Linked DNA regions of Mus musculus. The protein of the gene in region 2 purifies or fractionates together with the protein of the main gene of each other region. This does not show direct contact. Links are inferred from orthologs where the notes say so. Each region holds a gene or a part of one and is shown on either strand. Other genes may lie near its edges.

The links.
Region 1: the proteins of Anapc1 (region 2) and Anapc7 fractionate together in Homo sapiens (co-fractionation; 6 studies listed by BioGRID and IntAct, with this or other methods). This does not show direct contact. The link is inferred for Mus musculus from reciprocal best matches to the Homo sapiens genes ANAPC1 and ANAPC7.
Region 3: the proteins of Anapc1 (region 2) and Anapc16 purify together in Homo sapiens (co-immunoprecipitation; 5 studies listed by BioGRID and IntAct, with this or other methods). This does not show direct contact. The link is inferred for Mus musculus from reciprocal best matches to the Homo sapiens genes ANAPC1 and ANAPC16.
Region 4: the proteins of Anapc1 (region 2) and Anapc2 fractionate together in Homo sapiens (co-fractionation; 8 studies listed by BioGRID and IntAct, with this or other methods). This does not show direct contact. The link is inferred for Mus musculus from reciprocal best matches to the Homo sapiens genes ANAPC1 and ANAPC2.

Annotation. Positions count from the first base shown.
Region 1 is NC_000071.6:122,421,050-122,425,371, reverse strand, and holds the start of Anapc7 (anaphase-promoting complex subunit 7), read right to left. Parts: upstream 2,929-4,322; 5' UTR 2,795-2,928; coding exon 2,694-2,794; intron 1-2,693. UniProt on the Homo sapiens protein: Component of the anaphase promoting complex/cyclosome (APC/C), a cell cycle-regulated E3 ubiquitin ligase that controls progression through mitosis and the G1 phase of the cell cycle.
Region 2 is NC_000068.7:128,663,315-128,666,973, forward strand, and holds part of Anapc1 (anaphase-promoting complex subunit 1), read right to left. Parts: intron 3,392-3,659; coding exon 3,251-3,391; intron 2,195-3,250; coding exon 2,134-2,194; intron 749-2,133; coding exon 561-748; intron 1-560. UniProt on the Homo sapiens protein: Component of the anaphase promoting complex/cyclosome (APC/C), a cell cycle-regulated E3 ubiquitin ligase that controls progression through mitosis and the G1 phase of the cell cycle.
Region 3 is NC_000076.6:59,986,778-59,990,050, forward strand, and holds the end of Anapc16 (anaphase-promoting complex subunit 16), read right to left. Parts: intron 2,062-3,273; coding exon 1,946-2,061; 3' UTR 632-1,945; downstream 1-631. UniProt on the Homo sapiens protein: Component of the anaphase promoting complex/cyclosome (APC/C), a cell cycle-regulated E3 ubiquitin ligase that controls progression through mitosis and the G1 phase of the cell cycle.
Region 4 is NC_000068.7:25,282,348-25,286,457, forward strand, and holds the end of Anapc2 (anaphase-promoting complex subunit 2), read left to right. Parts: intron 1-2,214; coding exon 2,215-2,344; intron 2,345-2,589; coding exon 2,590-2,825; intron 2,826-2,903; coding exon 2,904-3,116; 3' UTR 3,117-3,569; downstream 3,570-4,110. UniProt on the Homo sapiens protein: Together with the RING-H2 protein ANAPC11, constitutes the catalytic component of the anaphase promoting complex/cyclosome (APC/C), a cell cycle-regulated E3 ubiquitin ligase that controls progression through mitosis and the G1 phase of the cell cycle.

The DNA.
Region 1 (4,322 bases), on a different chromosome or scaffold from region 2:
AAAAAAAAAAAAAAAAAGTCAAATGGGATAGATGGAGTCCATAATCTCAGAACTTGAAGGTAGGAGCAGGAGGATCAGGGGTTCAAGGTCAGCCTCAGCTTCACGAAGACCGGTGTGCTGGCTCAATCATCATTTAATTCCGACACTGTGGAGTCAGAGGCAAGTGGATCTCTGAGTTCCAGGACGGCCAGGGCTACACAGTGAAGCTGTGAGGTGGGAAAAACAGAGGCAAGCAAAGTACTGCTTCCTCGGTTTTGAACCTGACCCAACCACCATCCTTCTCCAGAGAGCACTGCTTTTCATGTATCACTCCAGAGACACTACTCGCTCGGCAAGTATGTTACAGTGTGTCTTAGTCAGGGTTTCTATTCCTGCACAAACATCATGACCAAGAAGCAAGTTGGGGAGGAAAGGGTTTATTCGGCTTACACTTCCACACTGCGGTTCATCACCAAGGAAGTCAGGACTGGAACTTAAGCAGGTCAGGAAGCAGGAGCTGATGCAGAGGCCATGGAGGGATGTTCTTTACTGGCTTGCTTCCCCTGGCTTGCTCAGCCTGCTCTCTTATAGAACCCAAGACTACCAGCCCAGAGATGGTACCACCCCACAAGAGGCCCCCCCCACTTGATCACTCATTGAGGAAATGCCTTACAGCTGGATCTCATGGAGGCATTTCTTCAACTGAAGCTCCTTTCTCTGTGATAACTCCAGCCTGTGTCAAGTTGACACCCAAAACCAGCCAGTACACAATGACCATTTCCCGGGCAGAGCGATATCTTAGGTAACTGTAAAGGCTAGATCCAGCTGCAAGGCATTTTAGGTAAGAATTCTACCACTGAACTATGTTATCAGTCTTATTTTGTTTTTGGACAGTGTGTACACTGTCTCTTCAACAAATATCAAAACATAAAGGATGAAGGTCAGAACTTATCTGCTTCCTGTAGCTAAGAACTTGCCAATCTAACCTAACGTGGAAAAGCATGGGTTAGCCCAATTCAGTCTAACTAGAGGAGGACGCTCTATAGCGTTCAAACAGTGCTAGAACGTTGTCCCGACCCAAGAGTAAAGATTAGGGCATTATCCCCAACACAGGAAACCATTTGCTATGAAGCACCACTAAGATTCTGGGGAAAAGTCCTCAACATCAACACAGAAGGCTGACAGAGACCAGTGTCCCTCGTGTCACACTAAGAAGCTGGTGACCGGGCTGGTGAGATGGCTCAGTGGGTAAGAGCACCCGACTGCTCTTCCGAAGGTCCGAAGTTCAAATCCCAGCAACCACATGGTGGCTCACAACCACCCGTAATGAGATCTGATGCCCTCTTCTGGAGTGTCTGAAGACAGTTACAGTGTACTTACATATAATAAATAAAAATAAATAAATAAATAAAATCTTTAAAAAAAAAAAAAAAAAGAAGCTGGTGACCAAATGATGTGTGTGCCTAGTCGGTCCAAAGCACACTAATGAATTGGAGTGGGGGGTAGTGACTGAATTACAGGCCCCTCACAGCCCTTTGGCTGTCTCACTAGACTAGCCTCAGCCACGCCAAATGCAAATGTCTGCACGGAGTAGAAGGCTACTGTAATGTTCTTTGGAAGCACTAGACAGTGGTGGACTGAAATACAAACTATCTCCAATCATAGACAGATCCACTCGCTCCTCTATGTTCTCCAGGGTGTGATCTTGGTCGACCTACTGGACCTCCCTGTAATAAACACATTTCCTTAGCATTTTTTTTTGTTTTGTTTTGTTTTGAGACAAGGTTTCTCTGTGTAGCCCTGGCTGTCCTGGAACTCACTCTGTACACCAGGCTGGCCTCGAACTCAGAAATCCGCCTGCCTCTGCCTCCCAAGTGCTGGGACTAAAGGCATGCGCCACCACTGCCCGGCTCAGGCAGCGGTTCTAAAGTGAAGCCACCGGTGCCAATGCTTGCTCTGAGAGCGCTCGGGCAGGAGGAGAAATTAGAGAAAAGGAATGACTAGGTTGACTTGCGGAGCCACGTCGAAGAGTGAGCAATGATGGGGAAATTTTTAAGCAAGGCCCTTACAGGCAATTCAAGCCTACAACTGTCCCGGGCTTCCTTTGAGACGCAGTAAACCCGGCTAGATAGAACTGTCACTCCATCGGTAGTGTTTTGCCTAGCACGCCTGAAATCCCTGGTTCGATCCCCAAGGTCCACACGCACACTGAGAGCATGGTGGGGGTGTAAAACACCAGTTAACCCCCCCCCCCCAGCTTCTGGGAGGCGTAGGCAGGAGGGTAAGAAGGTCAAGGTCTTCCTTGACTACACACACACACACACACAGCCTGGGGCAGGCTAGCCTGGGCTACAGGAGACCCCTGTTTGTAAACACAACCACACAAAACCAGTCACTCCCCGGCGGCAATGTCGGGCCTTACATTAGACTGCCAGGGTTCCTTTTAAATTAAAAAAAGGCGCCACCGCGCCCGCCACCGATGCTCTCAGTCTCGGAAAGTGGGGTCCCCTCCCTCCGCTGGGGTGGCACCCCCACGGCTGACACTCGGTGGACTGGGTCCCCGGGACTCAGGGGACTTCGTCGTTCTGGAAGGAGCCAGAACTCCGAGGCCACCGAGGCCGGATCCCGCGCAGCCCTCCGCGGGACCACACCGTCCCCCCGCCACCGCCAACCCCGGCTCCCGGGACCGCCACCTCCCCGCCTCTCCAACTCACGGGTTGTTGTTACTCATGGTGAGCAGCAGGCTGCTGAGGAGCCGCACGTTGGAGTGCAGTCCCGCAGCCGCCATGTCCCGCACGTGGTCTATCACACTCATCCTGCCCGGCAACACCGTGGCCCCCGGCGACACCGCGGCACCGGCAGCGGCGGACAGAACTCCCGGGAACCGAGAGCAGAGGCTCGGGGAAAGTTCCAAAATGGAGACGGCGCCGGGGTCCTTCCGGTCCAGACGCGGCTCCGCCCCCCGAAGATGGAGGTAGCCACGGACGTGCCTGAGTAAAAAGAAGCAGCGGCGAAAGGGTTTTCTCCATCATCATCATCTTCAAAGCCATCCCAGTAGGAATCGTAGTTTTGCTGCGCTAAAGACAGCCTGAGAGGAATGGATGCCTCGCGGAGGCTAGTAACAATGCACAGGAGTTCATCCTAAACACAGCGGAGGCGGAAAACGGACAGTTAAAAATTGAATTTTCGAATCAGGCGCGCAAGGGCTGGCTTTCTCCAACTACGGGAGCGTCCTAGGCGAAGGTGGCACGCCCCCCTCTCCTGGCGACTCTTGTCCCTGTCACTGGGAATAGATTCCTTGGTGCAAGGCATGGCTTGCCCGTCCAAGTGACCCGCTAGATCCAAGTGCGAAGAAAAGATAGTTACAGGGATGAGCTGGATCTCTGATCGCCCCACTGTCAACATCTCAAGCCTTTACGAACTCGTTACTGCATTGCATATTCACAAATCGCAATGCTGAAGCCATTTCCATAGAGGGAGAGAGCCGCCTCAGAAATTAAAACTGCATGCTCTTGCAGGGGAATTCGGTTCCTAGCACCTACCTGGTGGCTCACAACAGTCTGAAAGGCCAGCTCCAGGGCATCCGACTCCTTCCTCTGGCGTCTATGGGCACATACATGCATGTGGTGCACAGACATACACACTCAGGCATGCAGATACTCATAAAAATACATTGAAACAAACAAACAAACAAACAACAACAACTTGGATCTGGAGAGATGGCTCAGTGGTTAAGAGCACCGACTGCTATACCAGAGATCCTGAGTTCAATTCTCAGCAACCGCATGGTTGCTCAAAACCACATTTAATGGGATCTGATGCCCTCTTCTGGTGTGTCTGAAGAGAGCAATGGTGTACTCATATTCAATAAATAAATAACAACGTTGGCAGGGGGTGGTTTAATTCTAGCACTTGGGAGTTGGGCCGATCTCTGTGAGTTAAAGATTAGCCTGGTTTATAGGGTGAGTTCCAGGACAGCTAGGGATACGCAGAGAAACCCTGTTTGAAAACGCTTAAAACAAACAAACAAACAAACAAACAAATAAGTACTTTGAATTGTCAGTCCTTCTTTGCCGACAAGGAAACCAAAACTTTCAAATGTTGAAGCTGGGCAGCCTGAGAGTAAAACCACTTATCAGCAAGGCTAGTTTTGTAAATTCAATCCCCTGTGTGGGAGGAGAGACCTGACTCCTTCACGTTGTCCTCTGAGACAGCCGCATGTGCCTCTCACTCGCACAAAATAAATAACTACATGCAATTAAAATGTAAACAACTGAAGCTGTTTGCTTAAATTTGAGATTCAAGGCCATTTTTTAAAAAAGATTTAGTTATTTATTTTATGT
Region 2 (3,659 bases):
AACTGGAGAACGGTCAGGCACCCCCACCCTGAAGGCATCCGCTGGTGCATCATAAACCATTTGCACCTCCTGCAGAATGACGGACAGAAGGCTGGGCTTTACACCGCTACCAGCGTTCTAAAGCTAAGTCTGAGACCTCGCTGCTTCGCCTACCAACAAAACCAAGAGGTCTAGTTACGTCGTTTTACAAAGATAACTGAGAAACAGTCAAAATCAGGCAGCAGTAACACACAACTGCAATCCCAGCTTGGAAGGCAAAGTGGGGAATGTGGTGAATTCAAGACCAGCCTGGGCTACGTACACAGCAAGACCTTGACTTTAAAAAAGACAAAAAGAAAAGAAAAAAAGGTAAATTGTGCTTAAACAGATTTTTAAATAAAGACTCAAAACCTACTAAGTATTTGATTCATGCTATATAGGACAACAGGCCTTAGTATTATCCCGACATATTCTAAGGCTTACCTATTATTAAGTTTGTCAGGTTCTCTCAGTTATATAGCCAGTTATACAAGCACTGCATTTCTAACAGGATAATGAAGAAAACAACTGTAGTTACTTACACTTCGGGTCCATGCTAAGCGGTCTGTGTTATAACCCATCATGTTCAAGAGACAAATCACAAATAAACTCCACTCTGAGTGACAGCTGGGTCCTCCTGGAGCACTGTGCACATTGTACCACTTGACGAGCACCTGAATGGCTACTTCTTTTGGCAGGATGAACTTAATTGCTTGCAGACACGTTTGTACTATTAAAAGCAAATACTGATTTTAGTATGTACTGCCTGCCTCCTTTCAAATGGGAAGGTTCAAATTGCTACCATGTCCAGGCCAGCCAGGAAAAACAGAAACTATCACTAAGGACACTGGGCACAAACATTACCTCAACATTATCAATCACGTTAAACTAACTACTGAATTCAACAGGGCTCACAGAAAATCTGAAGATTAGCTGTCAGATCCCTAATTCGGGACTAGAAATAAAGTGAGCATATAGCCCAGTTCACCAGAAATAACCACTGCTCCAGGAAATAACTGTTCCCTTTTCACTCTCAAAACTGTCCTACTTTGAACAATCAAGCTTACTTCATAAAAAATATCTAATTTCAAAAAAAAAAAAAAGAAAAGAAAACAAAGCCGGGCGTGGTGGCGCACGCCTTTAATCCCAGCACAGAGGCAGAGGCAGGCAGATTTCTGAGTTCGAGGCCAGCCTGGTCTGTAGAGTGACTTCCAGGACAGCCAGGGCTACACAGAGAAACCCTGTCTCGAAAAAACCAAAAAACTAACAACAACAACAACAAAAATCTAATTTCTACACAAATAAATTTATATAAAATGTGGATTAAATCCTTCAGTAGATTCAACATGCAGCACAGGCACCTACTAACAGGAATGCTTAGGGATGCTACAAGCTATTCTCAATGAGTGAACATTCCTGTCAACTAACACTGCAACTCGTAATTTCTACACTGTCTTCCTCACCATGCCATAAGTAGGTTAGGGCGAACACTATCTAATATATACTGCTCTTAGTTATGGCACATCATTGGTGTGAAAATCAGCTACAGTGAAGAGAGCCAAGGGGACTGCCTGCTGTAAACAGCAGATTCACTATTGGGACAAAATGGCTCCAGACAGTCCAAGTTTTCCTTCTTGTTCCCTCCACACCACCACTGTCACTGACGCCATCTTTAGCAGCACAGCCTCATCAATCAAATGAATGAGCAGACACTGAGAAGCCTAGAAGCCTAGACTATAAATCTTAGAAAACCAAAACGGCATGCTTTAGCTGAAAACAAACAAGAATAAACCAGATGTTGCAAAGGACTCACTTCTACAAACAGAAACCGCAGGGTGGAGAGTTGGTTCAGCAGTCGAGAGCCCAGGCTGCTCTTGTAGAGAACCTGGGTTCAATTTCTAGCACCCATATAGCAACTCACAACCATTCTTAACTCTAGTCTGAGGGGACCTGACAGCCTCTTCTGGCCTCCACAGGTACTGCATTCAGACAACAACAACAACAACAAAAAAGAGACCAGAAACTGTTCCCATCAACAGTGTGGTAAACAAACTGAGACCAGAAACTGTCCCCATCAACAGTGTGGTAAACAAACTGAGACTGCACAGTACCTACCTAATTCCGAGGTGGCCACTTCAGGGATAGTGATCCGAACCATGGAGCCATTGCTCAGTTCCTAGTGAAAAGAATGGAAACAAACAAACAAACAAAAAAACCAACTGCTTAAGCATTCTAAGTTTTTAAAAGCTTTAAAAAAAAAAATGGCAATTTTTACTACTGTCTGCCAGTCAAGGCAAAATACAATAAAATGAACTGCTATACTTTTCAATGAGAATGAATGCTTCTAACTAAATATACATTTTTGTAAAATACTTTCAAAAATTCTTTTAATAATGCTTTTATCCAAACACTACGACACCAACATCATCAAAAGTGATTTTCTCCGAAAAGACAAAAACACAGCAATGTGAACTGACGGAGTAAATGTGCTTGTTTTAGATACACTTGTTATATACTCTTATTAGCTACTTGAGAATTTCATATAATGTCCTTTTATCATAGTCACCCCCAACTCCTCGCAGATCCTATTTCCCAACCCCCAACTTCCTGTCCTCTCTCCTTCTTCTTAACAACCCATCAAGCCCAATTTATGCTACCCATAAACTCTCAGATGTGGAAGAATCCACTGATGGATGGGTGGTCATCCTACCAGGGTCATATCCTTTAAGGAAACTGACCTTCCCTCCCCCAGAAACCATCCATTCCCAACAGCTCCTCAACTGGGGTTGGGTTCAGTAAATGTTTAATATAGAAATCTCAGAAAACAGAATTAAAGTAAAATAGTACAAAATAATAGCATGTTTTAAAAATGTCAAGATATCTGAAAGACAAAGTAACTCAGCAGTTAAAGCCTGGCACCCTGCATTCATTTCTTACAGCTCACATGAAGATGGAAGCAGAGAACCAACTCCAAAGTTGTGGCCATTCATGTCATAAACACATGAATGCATACCCACACACATATGCACACACATATACATGAATGCATACCCACACACATATGCACATCATAGAACAATAAATGTTTAAAATCATGAGAAATGTTCGTTTTCATTTCCACACATAATTTTACATCCTGCCAAATGTGAACTATCAGACAAATAACCCTTAGCCAGCTGCTCCACCCTCTGGAGGATCAGTCAGCTGCTCCACCCTCTGGAGGAGGACTTACTAGAGTGACTCTGTTATGAACAGGGTCTCGCACAGAATGAATGTAAGTTCCAAGCTGCTGGAATGTGCAATCCTCATTGTAGAGAGAATCATTAAGTTTTGAAGAATCCCTCAATTCTGGAACTGGAGACAACAGAACCACCTATAAAAAGTCACAATACAACACAGATGAAAAGACTTTGAGATTAAAGACAAGGAGCTGTATTCTTGCATATGGTTTGATGATTCCGATCATTCTGTTCCAATAATGACAGCCCTGCAGCAGACCAAGTTCTTCACAGAAAAAGCATCTGACTGACAGCATGCATACATATCACATTATGACATCCTTCAAATGTAGACCACTTGTCACCAGGCTTTCCAGTCTGGTGGGCACAGGCACCAGCCTAAGTTGCTCAGAGAACTCAGCC
Region 3 (3,273 bases), on a different chromosome or scaffold from region 2:
AATGCTCAACTTGGGCTGGAGAGATGGCTCAGTGGTTAAGAGCACCGACCGCTCTTCTGAAGGTCCTGAGTTCAAATCCCAGCAACCACATGGTGGCTCACAACCATCCGTAATGAGATCTGACGCCCTTTTCTGGTGCATCTGAAGACAGCTACAGTGTACTTAAATATAATAATAAATAAATCTTAAAAAAAAAAAAAAAAGAAATGCTCAACTTAATCAAGGAAATAGTCTGTAGTAAGTCCAAGTACCAGTGGGCGAAGGGAGGTGAGAGTCTGGTCTCACATGAAACCAGGGGTCTGGTCGCTTCTCTCCACAGGGAAAGTCTGACCATGGGCTGCACCTGAATATTCAACTCTTCTCTAGGGAAGCAGCTGGGCGTGGGGCTTTCACCACAGTGGCAGAGAAGAACAGGGAGACAGTGAGGCTGGGGCTGGTACTTCTCAAGCTCTGGCTTGCTTCAGACCAGAACAGTGGGCTCCATGATGGATCAATTTTTCCCCACTCCCACTTACATGGTTGTCCTCTGCCTGAGCAGCAGTTTCTCTTCACTGGCCTAGACTTTCCCCAGTAAATGAGGCCAGCTCCTCCCTGGCAGCGACTGTGTGTTAAATAGTTTCAACTCCTGAGATTAAGGCCAATTGCTACTAGGATTAAATTTATTTATAATTAAGCAACTCTAAGCAGATCAGGTGTAAGTTATTAATTAATGAGCAGAACGCTAAATGCTGGCTAGGGTAAATTTGTATGTAAAAGTACTTAAGCCTCCTAATTGTGCAGTGTGGGTCCCATGACGAGGGCTTGGTCATCCAGGTTTTTCTCTATCTTCGTGTAAAAACCTAGTGAAGAAAGGAGGGTAATCCTCACACTTAGTAGGCTGAGGCAGGAGGATGGCTATGAGTTTAAGGCCAGCCTAGCTACTGAGAGACAAGGTTCCAAACAAGCGAACTAACCAACAAACAGCCCACGGCCACACTCACTGAGGTTGCAGTAAGTTGGAACTTCTATACAAGCAAACAGCCCACATAAAGAAACCTACGGCTTACTTAAGCGACTTTCAAGTCTAAGGAAAAGCTGACCTCCTCTCTCTGTCTAAGTCCCCCAGACCGGAAAGGATACGCACAGCGATCTGGACCTCGTGTAAGGGTTTATTTGCCACAGAACTGCTTTCATACCCTGTAAGCCGGACTAAGACTTCGGGGTTCAAAAGGATTTAGGTCACTTCATATTTTCAAGTGCTGCAACATTCAAAAAGCAATCTTGGGGGGCAGAGTGAGGTGGAGTAGCACATTTGGCATGTCGTGAGAGGTGAAAGAAATAGTCTGTAATGTTAAATGTCTAAGAACAGAGAGGGAAAGGACACTTTACAGCTCCCATCTGGACGGACCCTGAGCTGAAACCACATTCATGTGTGAAGAGAAATGTTTGGGCTGTGACCGTGAAACGACAGATGCTGACCTTGGGCTTGGCTGGTGAAAGCTTCCAGACAGCCTCTGAATGACAGGACATCCTCCATTCAGTTGGCTGACTCTGGCATGTGTCCATTTGGCTTGTGAGAATCAGTGTTTCCTAGATCCCAAGCCTCCTGGTTCTCTGAAAGGACTGTCTCCATCTGATCCCCAATACTTCTTTTTATTTATTTATTTATTTATTTATTTATTTATTTTGAGACAGTGTCTCATAGCCCTGGCTGTCCTGGAACTCTTATGTAGACCAGGCTAGCCTCAAACTCACAGAGATCCTCCTGCCTCTGCTTCCCAAGTGCTGCCCAATGCTTTAAAGAACATGAATGTGAAAAACATCTCCGCGACATCTCACATGAGCACTTGTTGCCTATTAGCAGAATTGGAGACACCAAGTATGGATGTGGATTCAGACATGCAGCTCACAGGACAGCTGTGACTCCCTGGGTGGCTGTGCCCTAAGGGTGGTCGTGCAGGCAACATCAGCCCGAGGAGGGTGTGAACCCCAGCAGCTGCTCGATGGGTTTAAACCGCCACTCGTCGGCCTCCAGCTCTTCCACCAGACCAGCCAGTTTTTCCATCCGAGCGACTTGCTGATCTAGAGAGTTAAGGGACAGAGCACACCAGGGCATTTCCCATCAGACTGCCGCCAAAGTTACCAATGTGACAACTAGCCTAGGCTTCATCTCCAGGTGGACTTTATGTACGTCTGAAGACTAATTTTTGGAAACAAACAAACAAACAAACAAAAAAACCCCAACAAAAAACAACAACCATTTTTCCTAATCATTCTCCACTCATCTGCATTATGCACGTCTCCCCTTTGCTTGAGTTAGTGGAGACTAAACCCAGGGTCAAGTGCTCTACCCCTGAGCTGTATCAGCCTCCGTGTGTGTACACGTGGATGTGTGTTGTGCACATGGTGGGCAGTAATCCAGTCATTCCCATTAGTTATTATTCATGTGTATGTGACTAGGGAAGCCAGTCTCTCTAGCCCTTATCTGAATGTTGTTCTTTTTCCCTCTTGCTGTGCGAATTTGGCAAGGCCTGTCACCCTTTTATCTCCCTTCAGGCTTAGCCTTTTCCATGACCAAATCTCAAGAGGGGGCTTCCATTTTCTTTTCTTTCTCTGAGTCTGGAAAGTTTATATTAAAAAATTTTAAATACAGTTATTAAGAAATACAGGTGACTCTCTTGAGAAGCCCACACCCATACTTGGGTATGTACGCTCCTTTGCCTAAGGGTCTCTCTTTCTCTTAATCCCTATGTTTAAATCTGTATTAAAACCTTCCCTCTGCTCAAAGGCAAGCAGGGTTTTATTGCTGTAGCAAAAGAGGTACTCAAAAGTGAGCTCCCTAAAACCTCTTAATAAAGAAAAGAGAGGGGCTGGAGAGACGACTCAGCAAATAAGAGCGCAGAGTGCTCTTGCAGAAGAGCTGAGTTGAATTCCCAGCACCCACGTCAGCCGGCTCACAACCTGACATCACTGCATCTGACATCACTGCATCTGACATTGCTAGGCTTTTGAGGCACTTGTTCTCACTCACCCCCCACACATGGACTGCATACCTACACGTATAATTAAAAGAAGAAGAAAAAAAGAGAGTGTGAGCGTGAGAGAAAGATAGACAGAGGGATACACACAGAGGCAGAGGCAGAGATGGGAGGAGGAGGGACAGAAGGAAGGTGTGAGGAGAGAGAGAAAGAGTGAGAATATAAAACAAGCAAGGTGTGGGAGTTCAAGCCTAGCACTTGGGAAGTGGAGGCAGGAGATGTGCTCAGAGTTCCAGGCCAGCCTGGGCTATACAGT
Region 4 (4,110 bases), about 100 Mb from region 2:
CCTCTTGCAGTAGCCCTGGCAGATCTAAGTAAATGGCCTTTTTCTTTATTTTGTTTTTGTTTTTTTGAGACAGGGTTTCTCTGTGTAGCCCTGGCTGTCTTGGAACTCACTCTATAGACCAGGCTGACCTCCAACTCAGAAATCCGCCTGCCTCTGCCTCCTGAGTGCTGGGATTAAAGGCGTGCGCCACCACTGCCCAGGTGGTAAATGCATATCTTTATGTCCAAGTTTTCTCTATGTCTGTTTCCCTCTTCTTGGGATACTAGTTATATCAGATTAAGGACCCTGGAGATAGGACTTACAGTGTCACTAGAGTCAGTGTCCTGGGCTTTACTTACTATCTCTTTGAAGAGATACAGTTTGGCCCATGGCAGCCTGTGGTTCTAAAACTAATAGTCTTTACATGAGAAAATTAGCCAATATCTCCAAAATTAACCACTTCAGCATCAGTTCTTAAAAATCTCTTCTAATCTAGATGGGTGGTGCCTATCTATGATCCTAGCACTCAGGAGACTAAAGCAGAAGGGTGGTGGTTCATTATATAGCCTAGCTATATAGTGAGGACCCCCCCCAAAAAAAAAAAAACCGTATCCATCTGAAGTAGGTTTCGTCTCCACCTTGATGCTGTGAGGTTGTTTTGATCCAAAGCACATTGTTAAAACAAGCCCAGTTCAGAAGAGGGTGTTCCCAAAGGCAGCAAGAAGGATCATGAGCCTAAAGCAAATCTGAACCACGGAAAGCAGAGTTGACAGTGTGGCTCAGGCCTTGGTGGTGCCCTTGGCTTTCCTGGCAGCCCTGTGTGCACTCTCCTGTACCTCTGTCACTGCATTCAGACTGTCAGCATTGCTGCTGACATAACACCCAAAATCTTGGTGCTTTCCATGAAGTGTACAATATCCAATTTATCAAGTGACTGTGATCCTGAGCCAAGTGTGCTGGTGATGCCTGTCACCCCAGCCTTGGAGGCAGGCACAGCAGCAGCACTGCTAGTTTGAGGCTAGCGTGTTGTATATAACAAGTTTCAAGGCAATTCAGCTATAGAGGAAGGCTCTGTCTTTTATTTAAAAAATGAAGAAAAGAAAGTGAGGGAAGGGGTATGTTCCTGGATATGCTACGTGTTCCGGGTGGATCTACAAATCACACTCATGTCAGCAAACATCTAGCTACAGGCTGGTAGTTCTCTGCCAGCTCCCCCAGTGTCTAGTGTTTGCTCATCGTTTCTATCTGAGCTCTCAGCAGCAGGTCCTCTCAGTGCCCTCATCTCTACCAGCATTATTCTCTATAGTATGGGCAATAGCTCTTATCCTTCCTTGAGCCTTCACCAGCATCATCTGCATCTTCCATGTCGTGCCAGTTAACTGTAGCAACCTAAGGTTTAACCTTCATGTGCTTCCCCATTGTACAAACAACTTCTATATTTTAGGTGTTTTTAGAGCAGTATCCCTACATAGAACCAGAATCATCCTTTTTTTTTTTTTTTTTTTTTCTGTTTTAGACAGGGCTTCTCTGTGTAGCCCTGGCTATTCTGGAACTCACTCTGTAGACCAGGCTGGCCTCGAACTCACAGAGCTCCACCTGCCTCTGCCTCCCAAGTGCTGGGATTAAAGGCATGTGCCATCTATACAGCAGAAGCTTCACTTATTATGACCTTTTTAACAGGGCTACACAGAGAAACCCTGTCTTACAGACAGACAGACAGACAGACAGACAGAAGACAAAGTCACAGGCTGAGTGGTTTTAAACAACAGAAAAATGTTTTAGTTCTGGGAAATAGAAGTCCAGTGTTGGGGTGTTGGCAGGACTGGGCTCCTCCTGTTGCCTCTAAAAAACTACTCTTTTGCTTTCCCAGCTTTTGATATGTCAGCATACTTTATGCCTCTCATAACCACTCCCTTCTGTGCCTTAAGGGCTACCCTACTCCAGGATGACCTCTTCTTAACTAATTACATCTACATTAACTCTCTTTGCAAATAACTCATGTTCCAAGGTACTGAGACATGAGAGGGACACAATTTATCAGCAGTTATATCATGGTTGTTCAGGAGCCAGGGACTCCAATCAGGTCTCCTGGTCTTGCTGTTGACTACCTACCTGCCAGGAATGGCATTGGTGCAAGAGCCATTCCATGCTTGGTAGCATGGCATATGAGCCTATGCCTTGTTCATCTGGACCTGCCTGGAACCCACTGGACTGTTATTGATGATTCCTGCCCAGGCTATGCGGACACTTAGTTGGAAGCACACCCTGGGCCTGGTGACAATGGATGTGGAGCTTGCTGACCGCACCCTGTCTGTTGCGGTGACCCCAGTACAGGCAGTGGTCTTGCTGTATTTCCAGAACCAAGGTGAGTCCCTAGAACCATATCTGCTCTGCTTTGACTACACTACCTTGGGGCTATTGCTATAATCTGATGGGCTATAAGGTAACATGCCAGATTCCCCAGCCCCCAGCAGAGTGTAGGGGTAGCAACCATTCTTTTTACCTATGAGTTACACAGGACAATCCACGTGCGTCTGGGGGTCCAGCTAGCTAACAGGTATTGGAGCAGGTATAATCTTCGGTACCTGCATCCTATGGCTCTGCACACAGCCAGCTGGACCCTGGAGGAACTGAGCAAGGTGGTGAAGATGCCTGTGGCACTGCTTCGAAGACGCATGTCAGTGTGGCTGCAACAGGGTGTGCTGCGGGAGGAACCTCCAGGCACTTTCTCTGTCATTGAGGAAGAGCGGCCTCAGGATAGGGACAACATGGTGCTGATTGACAGTGATGATGAGAGTGACTCAGGCATGGCCTCCCAGGCTGACCAGAAGGAAGAGGAGCTACTGGTACGTTGGCCATTTCCACATTGGGCTGGGGTGGGCCAAATAAGTGGACAACTAACCATGCCTGGCTTCTGTTCCTAGCTCTTCTGGGCATACATCCAGGCCATGTTAACCAACCTAGAGAGCCTCTCTCTGGAGCGTATCTACAGCATGCTCCGGATGTTTGTAATGACTGGCCCTGCGCTGGCTGAGATTGACCTGCAGGAGCTGCAGGGCTACTTGCAGAAGAAGGTCCGAGACCAGCAGCTCATCTATTCTGCAGGTGTCTACCGCCTGCCTAAGAATTCCAACTGATGTTCCCTTTCCAGGCTCTGACTACAGCATTCATGCCTGTGCAACCCCTAGATGGACAGCTTCTATTTCCATGTTCCTGTGCCCAGTCCCTGCCCGTTCCCTGCCTAACACCCACAGAACAAATTAAAGCATATTGGCTCATCCTTTCATGTATTTTGTTGGATCCCATGAATACAAACAGGTTTGCCCTCTATAGCCACCCAACCATAACCCTACAGGGCCTGGATTCCCAGCAGCAGGTAACTGAGCCACCCAAGAAGCCAGGCTTACCCCAGCCTAAGCTTGTATGTTTGGGCAATAGATTACCCTAAAGCTATCTCCTGTAGCCTGTCTTAGAATATGCTGGGACCTGTTTCAGCAAGAGTGAATAGGGTTGGCAGCTCAGAGTCTCCCGAGTTAGACTTTGGCCCCATCCTGCTTTTGTGGCCATTAAAAGGAACTCTTGGTCCTTCACTTGTGTGTGGCATCTGTGGAATCAATGTAAGGCTTTGTGCTGTTAGTACATTTGCACTCGATGAGATCCTCAGGTGAGGCAACCTGAGTCAAGTGCACACCTGTGTCTAGCAGTCAAGGTCAGCCTAAGGACATATGCTGGGGGCCAGGGGCGTATTAGTCCTTTGTCCTCTTTTCTCTACTGGCCACACTTCTTGGAGCTTACAAGTATGTACTCAGACTCTTTCAGGTCCCCCAGAGATGCTGTCAGAAGTACAGGAAGAGGGTGGGGACAAGAAGAGAACCCAGGACACAGTTTAATAATCCTTTTCCTCCAAGATAGGGCTCAGCCACCCTTGTAGGCAGGCTGTGCCCAGACACCTGTTGAGGACAGGTTGGCCTTAAGACAACAGAACCTGGTGGGACACAGCATGGGCCCCTGTGTCCCTGTCCCAGAACAGCTGTTTTCAGTCAGGAAATACTGACCTGAGGTGCCATCCTCAAAGGAAACAAAAGCCCTTTGGAATCATTGCTTACACACCCAGATCCTGCCCAAGGTGGA